2 linked regions of the Cricetulus griseus genome follow. The protein of the gene in region 2 interacts with the protein of the main gene of each other region in a biochemical or structural test. Links are inferred from orthologs where the notes say so. Each region holds a gene or a part of one and is shown on either strand. Other genes may lie near its edges.

The links. The genes of interacting proteins can lie anywhere in the genome.
Region 1: the proteins of Cysltr2 (region 2) and Magi1 interact in a test that uses a peptide from one of them, tested with the Homo sapiens proteins (2 studies listed by IntAct, with this or other methods). The link is inferred for Cricetulus griseus from reciprocal best matches to the Homo sapiens genes CYSLTR2 and MAGI1.

Annotation. Positions count from the first base shown.
Region 1 is NC_048601.1:50,130,169-50,133,820, reverse strand, and holds part of Magi1 (membrane-associated guanylate kinase, WW and PDZ domain-containing protein 1), read right to left. Parts: intron 3,431-3,652; coding exon 3,238-3,430; intron 1,139-3,237; coding exon 845-1,138; intron 1-844. UniProt on the Homo sapiens protein: Plays a role in coupling actin fibers to cell junctions in endothelial cells, via its interaction with AMOTL2 and CDH5. May regulate acid-induced ASIC3 currents by modulating its expression at the cell surface.
Region 2 is NW_023276807.1:227,541,781-227,546,009, forward strand, and holds the start of Cysltr2 (cysteinyl leukotriene receptor 2), read right to left. Parts: upstream 2,808-4,229; 5' UTR 2,439-2,807; intron 1-2,438. UniProt on the Homo sapiens protein: Receptor for cysteinyl leukotrienes. The response is mediated via a G-protein that activates a phosphatidylinositol-calcium second messenger system.

The DNA.
Region 1 (3,652 bases), on a different chromosome or scaffold from region 2:
AGACCACTGGCCATGAGGTCCAATGGGGTTAAGTCATTTGAGATAAAATTTGAAGCTTGTATAATAACCCTTTCTATCTCTTATCACCTTCCAATGTGCTTGAGAGATGACAAGGAACTGAATCAGGAAGTAGGGTGCATATCCATTTTAACAGGAAAGAGACTCATGGACTCGGCTGTGTTCTTAGAATAGTCTGGGTTCCTATTCACCTTTATGTATGCACTCAGGAGAAAATTAATACTTGCAGAAGGTTATGAAACATTATCCATACTTGACTGAAATCCAAGACCTGGATAAGACCCCAAATCAAATGACTCTTATCTCAGAGTCTAGCCAGTTTCTGAAGCAACAATAAAATAGCATTTAAAACTTCAACAGTATTCAGGTAGGGATAAGGGACCTGCATGAGCTGTGGGAGTATCACAGGTCATTTTTGACTTTTTGCATCTCTACTTTTCCTAGGTATTCTTATGAACAACTGCTGCTTTTAAAATCCTTATGACTTTCTGAGGCCATTGCTACTAATGATATCATCTACTCAGTAACTTTCTGAAGTCTTTCTCTGGCAAAAAAAAAAAAAAAAAAGTATAATCTATTACAATACCAAGGGGCTGCTATTCAAATTTGACATAAATCTTATGTGTACAGAAATCGTATGCGTACATTTAGAAAGCTAAAGCCAAAAAGGGGCTTCAGGGGAGGCCCAACAAATATCTAAAGTGAAAAAACATTAAGGAATTTCTGTTGGGAGCTAAGCCCAGCTCCTCTTCGAGAGTAGCAAATATCCTTAACTACTGAAGCCTCCTGGTAGAAGAAAGCCCAGCCTGTACCTTCTAGCACTCACCAAAGGTCGTGCCCGCTTCAGGCCTGCTCACGGAGGACACGATGACGAATCCAAAGCCCTCGTTCTCCCCACGTCGAATTTCCACATCATAGGGCTGCAGCACAGCGCTCACCACGCCGCTGCCGCCACCACCGCCACTGCCGATGCCGCTGGTGCTGCCGCTGCCAGAGCTCACAGTGTTCAGCGAGTTCTGGCTGCCCTGCGGTGTGCGCTTCTCTTCTGTCAGAGAAGCAGGCTGGTTGCTACTGTGGTGCGATGAAGCTGGAGAGGGCACCTCATTCTCTGCTTTGGGGACTGCAAGAGAGATGTGTGTCTAAACCATTTGAAATTCCTGGAAAATAGGCCCAGCCACCACTTCCACCTTCCCCACCTGTAAAGAAACCAAGATGCTAATGAGGGCATCGTGTCTCAGACAACTGCAACACAGGCGTGGAAAGCAGCCTTGCTGTGGAAACATTAATATAATAGTCTGTCTCCAGGAAGGCTGATGGCACATTGACCCCCAAGGAAGAACCCTAAATAGCATGTAGGAGACAGTACGATGAAACAACCCACAATGCCATCCATCTACAGCAACATCCAGTTATGACCTTTCTCCTATGTAGGAAGGAACTGTGAGCAGACTTTGGTGTGAGCTATACCAGTGAAGGCTGCCATCCTAGCTTCATAGGCTTACTTATTCATCATCTTTCCCCCTCCCCCCAGATACATTTTTGTTCAAGGTTGACTTTCTCATTAGGTAGGAGACTGCTAGGGGTAGTCATAGATGGACTCATGAGAACCTCGTGGGAGGTACTCGTAATTGCTCTCCCCAGCTCCCAGCTGTAAATATCTGTTACAATCACAGAGATAGAGGCATTAGCTTCCTCCCAACTTTAGGCATTCTTCCTTCCAGTCTTACTGCCTTGTCAGCTAGTAGGGCACAGCATTCTTAGATAGTCCACACCTTAGGTGGAACCAGGTGCATCAAAACCATTATGTACTATGGTGGGTTGTGGCTATGATTATATTTATTCCACAAAGTTTTTACTTTCATAGTTATTTTTAATTGTGGGAAACATAAATTGAATGACTTCACGGTTCTTACATGTAACTCAGGGGCATAGGTGTATTCACACTGTTATGTAAGTGTCACCAACATCCATTGCTAGAATTATCAACTTCCACAAGTGAAACTTTCACCATTAAATGGCAACTCTGTTTGCCCCTCTTACCAGCGCTTGTCAGTGCCCATTCCTCTTGCTGTCTGCCTATCTAATATAATGTTTGCACAGGACTAACTTGCTGAATACCCCAAACACTTAAGTCCTTCAAATAGAACCGAAACAGCCAAGTAAAATTACATCACCTTACTACTTTAAGACAGGGAAATCAAATAGTTTTCAAATCATCTCAAAACCAAAAGCAAACCAGCTGACTACCACTGGCTGCATGGAATGCCATGCTAAGAATTTTATTTGGGGGGGGGGAGACAGGGATGAGTGCTAAGGATATAATCTGTTGTGGATTAGGACTGTTTTCAATTGACTACCATTAGATTTTTATACTGGAATTTAATAACGTCATCCTTCAATTCTATATCACTTAAAATAAGCTACATTAGTTTTTTATTTTTTATTTTTTTTAAGTGCCCAGTTAATTTTATCTGGTAGCTATTTGCTACACTAGTATCAAGGCTAGAGAGAACTCATAGGCTTTCACATCATACTTCTTCAGTAATTCAGTGACACAACAGGTCATCTTCCTCCTCTGGATTCTGTTGTATAGGCTTTGAGTAGAGGCTGTATGCAAAGGTGAATAAAGACACGTGCTTTCAGAAAAGAGCACACACGTAACCACTCTGAGCCACAGGCACAGCAGGAAGAGGGTGCTAGAACCCGAAAGCCTTTGGAGCAAGGCTCTTCTTGAGTGGAGCCTGAAAGGGTATTTTGAGAACTTCAGAGGAACCAGAGCCAACACAGAACTGGCTTGCTCTCCAGCTTTGTCAGTGAAGCCACAGCAAGGTGCTGTGTCAGGAAGAGCAAGCTCATTCTGCCTTCCAAACTCAAGTTCTGCTCTTTGACTGTGGAGCTGACCTTTTCTCAAGCTCCTGCTGGACCCTTCGATTGAGGATTATCATCAGTGAAGAGGAAGGCTACATTCTGGTTGGTGAGGGGGCAGGAGGCAGGAGATGTATATTCAACTGGCATTCTTCTGGAAGTTTTTTTAGAGCATATGCAAATAGCATATTAAAGTATCTCTGAATGACAGCACTTTTGCAGAGCTGGAGAGAAGCAAACCATCTGGAAATTCTAAGCTTGATCACATTTGCAAACATTTGCTAAAATAGAAGCTCGAGGAGGCAGACATGAGAGGGACAGAGCATAGTCTGAAGGAATGAATGAAAAACATACCAGCAAACACCACTTTACGCCTCACTGTGAGATTGACATGGCCTTGCTTAGCAGCTTGTTGCATAAGCTGGACCACAAGCTGGTGTGATTTTCCAATTACTGGTGTCCCATCCACACAGATTAATTCATCTCCAGACCTCAGGCGGCCGTCTGTGTCAGCAGCACCCAGTGGTACGATGTGACCGATATAAATCTGTCGAGTAATTAGATGATGGATGAAACATTGTCCTGTTGGTTTTACTATCAAGACTGATGGCCCGTACATCTCTAGAAATAATTCAGTTCATTCATTCATATCCACATGCATGCCACAAACAGTTATTGAGCACCCACTGTGTATAAGGCATTGGGCCAGGCACTGTAGCAGTTTTTAAGAAGTGGACAGGATAACTATTTCTTGTACAGATCTTTGACA
Region 2 (4,229 bases):
CTTCCTGCATCCTAGGCAAGCTGATACATTAGCCAAAGTTCTGGGTAGCTGCATTATCCCTTATGAGTCTTTTCCTCTATAAGCTTGCTCTTGGGGACCAGCATGTCTTTAATGCCTTCTGTTCAGGACAAACAAGAAAAGCAGGCCAGATCCTGGGGTCTGGAATACACAAGGTAATGGGTATTAACAATTCCTGAGCTGATGCTGACCCAGAGTAATGAGTCCCATCCTGTGGAGGGAGGAGGTCCTCTCAGGTGCCAGGTAGATAGAGTCTCAATTTTTCAAGTCTCAACTCTGCTTTTCTGTCATTTCACCCCTCTAAACTTTAAAACCTTCATCTGCTGAGGGAGTGAGAGTAAACGAAGAGGATGAGAGCAGCCCAATCAGCTCTGTGCCTGACATACCAAGTGTGTTGTCCACATTAGCCACAACTACAACACAACATGTAACAATCATAGGCAAAACTCAGAACCGAATACAAGGCTTCTTTCTAGTCAATTGGAAAAAAGAGTTGGGGCCACTTTATCGGGAGTGTGAACCAGACAGACACAGTCAATTCTATTCAATTCTGTTTAGTTTACTTTTGTTTTTGTTGCATTGCTATATTAAATTAAGGTGGCAAAAAGATATTAAGCTGAGTTGTGGAAATGACAAGTTTTATCAGTTAGACAAGTCTAAAATTCTGTACATACACTTCTTTTTCTCTTTTTCTAAATACAGATAAGGATTTTGAAAAAAAGAGAGAGAGCATGTTATAATGCTATTTTGTATCCTGCTTTTTCTTGCCACTGAGACATGGTCATCTCTTTTTTTTCTAAGTGATATAGTGCCAATGCCATCATTTAACTATATAATAATATACAGATGTAACAAAATTCATTTAATCAATTTCATAAAATAGTTATTATTGGGGTTGTATGGATGTAGCCATATATTCTAGACTCATCAGTTTGGTTCTAACTTGGGAAATATCCTACAATCCCAGGGCTTCATTTCTGCCATCTCAAAAATGAGAAATACCCTCTCTATAGATAAAGATTGTTCCACAGGTCAAATGAACAGACATATGAAAACATGTTTCTATATGGTAAAGTGCTACATAAATGCTTGTGCTTATCAAAGATGCTAAACAGACACTCTCCTCCATGGGATGAAAACAAGAAGATATTTGTTTGACACGCTATTGATCAAATTAAGGTCAAGTATATGCCTGTGGGAAGCTCATAGCACAGGCAGAACTGCTTCAGCCTGATTTAGGTGCCGTTATCTGTCCAGTCTTTTGATATGAAGTCAGTCTGTTTTATTCTTAGGGGGACATTGGGGTCCAATGAAAATAATTTCTTTTGGAAAGCAGGGTGAACCATTAGATCAGTCTTGGCCACCTGCTGTATCTTCGGTGTGCTTGTAAATGGCCAGATATTAAATGTCCATCTCTTGACTGACTTTGAAAAGTTATACAAAGAAAGGAAGTTGGGCTACCTTGGCAGGTACTAGTGCCCACCGGGCTTAATGTTAACATATTTAGAGCCTTCTAAATCCTCAACTTCTCCCACAACTACCTTCCCAAGCCATAGAAACAAATCTACTTCCTTCAAACATTAATTAATTGAAGCTTTCAAATAGGTTCTAATCTCAGGAGTTGAAGTAGACAACGGAAATTTCTAAAGTTCTTATATGCCCCACAAATTAGCTCTCTAAGTTAGATTACTTACATAGTAAAAGAGAGACTTGCCTTTAATTGCATCTCATTTCCCCACCATTATTACTCTCAGGTATGTGGTATCGACAAGAAGGTTTTTCAAACAACCATTTCTTTAAGAACAGACCATTTATTAATAACAACTGAGAAGTAATAGCAAACAAAACCCATTAAAGACTGGTTAATACCAGGAAACCAGGTTTAAGCTGTTTGAGGCATTGTTCTCTAATCTGCTGAGATGCAGGCAATTCTGACTGAGGTGCAGCCCCAGCTGAAAAACCAAGATGGGTGCTCCAAAACAAACCGATTCCAGCACACGTGTTCATGTTCACTGCACCTCTGAACAAAACCACTGAAATCTACCTTCTCAAATACAATCCTCTTCCAAAAGCAAGACTTTTGAGTAGAAAAAAAAAAAAGCCTTATGGGATAAAATGACCAAAGGAGGGAAAATATCAATGCCTTATATAGCAATCGCAATTGTGGCTCTGCAGAATTCATGGCAGCATGGATAAGGCACAAGGTTTACTGGAAGGAGTGAACATAAACGTGTTTGTATTTTACAGATGCAGCTATGAAAGGAAGCTAAAATCATATGCACAAGCCAAAAACAAAAACAAAAAAACATATGTGGTAGAACTGATAGTTGAACAAATTAAGCTTACATTCCACACGTCATTCCTGTAGGAGCCATCAAAGCACAATTCTGAGTGACAAATGAACAAACGGTACAACCCACCTGTGTGCTTCCTTCTGCGCCCGGCCTCCTCCCGCTTGCCCTGCCTTCCGACTCTGCCCTCTCTCCTGGCTGTCTCCCCATACGATGCAGCTTGTTCATTTAAAGCAAGAGTGAAACGGCCAACTCTGTTTTATGAACAGTGTTAGCCAATAGCAAGAAAAGAAGGAACTTGGGTCAGCAGGTCCTCAGCTTGGTGGCAGGATCGTGGGAATGAATGCTGGCTTCCTTCTTTGGAAGGCAGAGAATTTCCAGCTAGTGACCATCGTACCAAGTCACCCTGGAATTATCGTCCTCTAATGACTCTTGATGTTTTTGTTGTTGGGATTTCTTTTCTTTTCTTCTTACCTTTCTTCCTTCCTTCCTTCCTTCCTTCCTTCCTTCCTTCCTTCCTTTCTTTCTTTTTTCTTTTAATCAGATGTGATGGGCGGGGGGGGGGGGGGGAGGGGGGGAGTTAAGTGGCTTTTATTTCCGAAAGGGTTTCTGTTTCCATGACAAGCCCATCAACTCCGCTTTTCACACTCAGCCCTGCCGACAGCTTTAGATAAAGCACTTTCACTACCCTCTGGCTTTCCCGTGCACTCTGGCAAAGGCCTTACTCACTCTGCTAAAAAGTCTCTGTGAAGGCCGCCACTGGTCTCATTGCTCCTGTAATGTGTTACTCTTGCTTGAACAGTTAACTGTGGAAACTCTGTCACCATATTTCTCAATCCACCTGGCTTTTTTCCCAACTTTCAGCCTGATTCTCCTTTGCCTCCTGGACTGCTTGAATGAGAAATTCCCAGTTTCATCCCCCGTTCTGTATTTCACCTCCTGATTCAGCCTCTCTGGCTTCTTCATTCCCATCATGCAGTTCTTCTCCTCCTACCTACCTACACACACACACACACACACACACACACACACACACACACACACACACACACACACACACACTACTCCTGTTAGCTCAACCTCCAACTTGAGCCAGCAATCCCTGGGACCCTGCCTTCCTATATACAAGTGACAGATGGACTGAGAAAGAAATCAGGGAAACAACACCTTTCACAATCATCTCAAATAATATAAAATATCTTGGCATAACTCTAACCAGACAAGTGGAAGACTTGTGTGATAAGAGCTTTAAAACACTGAAGAAAAAAATTGAAGATGGGAAGATCTCCCATTCTCACCAATCAGTAGGATTAATACAGTAAAAATATCCATCTTGCCAAAACCAATCTGCAGATTCAGTGCAATCATAATCAAAATTTCAACACAATTCAAAAATCTTGATAGGGCAATTTTTGCTTTATATGGAAACACACACACACACACACACACACACACACACACACACACACACACACCAGAATAGCTAAAACAATCCTGAATAATAAAACAACTACTGCAGGTGTCATTATTCTCAACCTCCTCAAACTGTACTACAGAGCTATAGTAAAATAAACAATATGGTATTGGCATAAAAGTATACATGTTGATTAATGGAATCAAACTGAAGATGCAGACATAAATCCACACACTTATGGATACCTTATTTTGGATGAAGAAGTCATAAATATAATGGGGGAAAAGACAACATCTTTAATGAATGGTGCCGGTCAAACTGGATGGCTACAGATCCAAACAGGGTCCACACTTTTATCACCCTGCACAAAATTCACATATACTGAGCCTGATAGAAGAGAAAGTAAGGAATAGTCTTGAGCTCAACAGTACAGGAAAAAACTCTGTGAACAGAACATTGGCAGCACAGACACTACAATCAACAATTAATAAAGGGGACCTCATGAA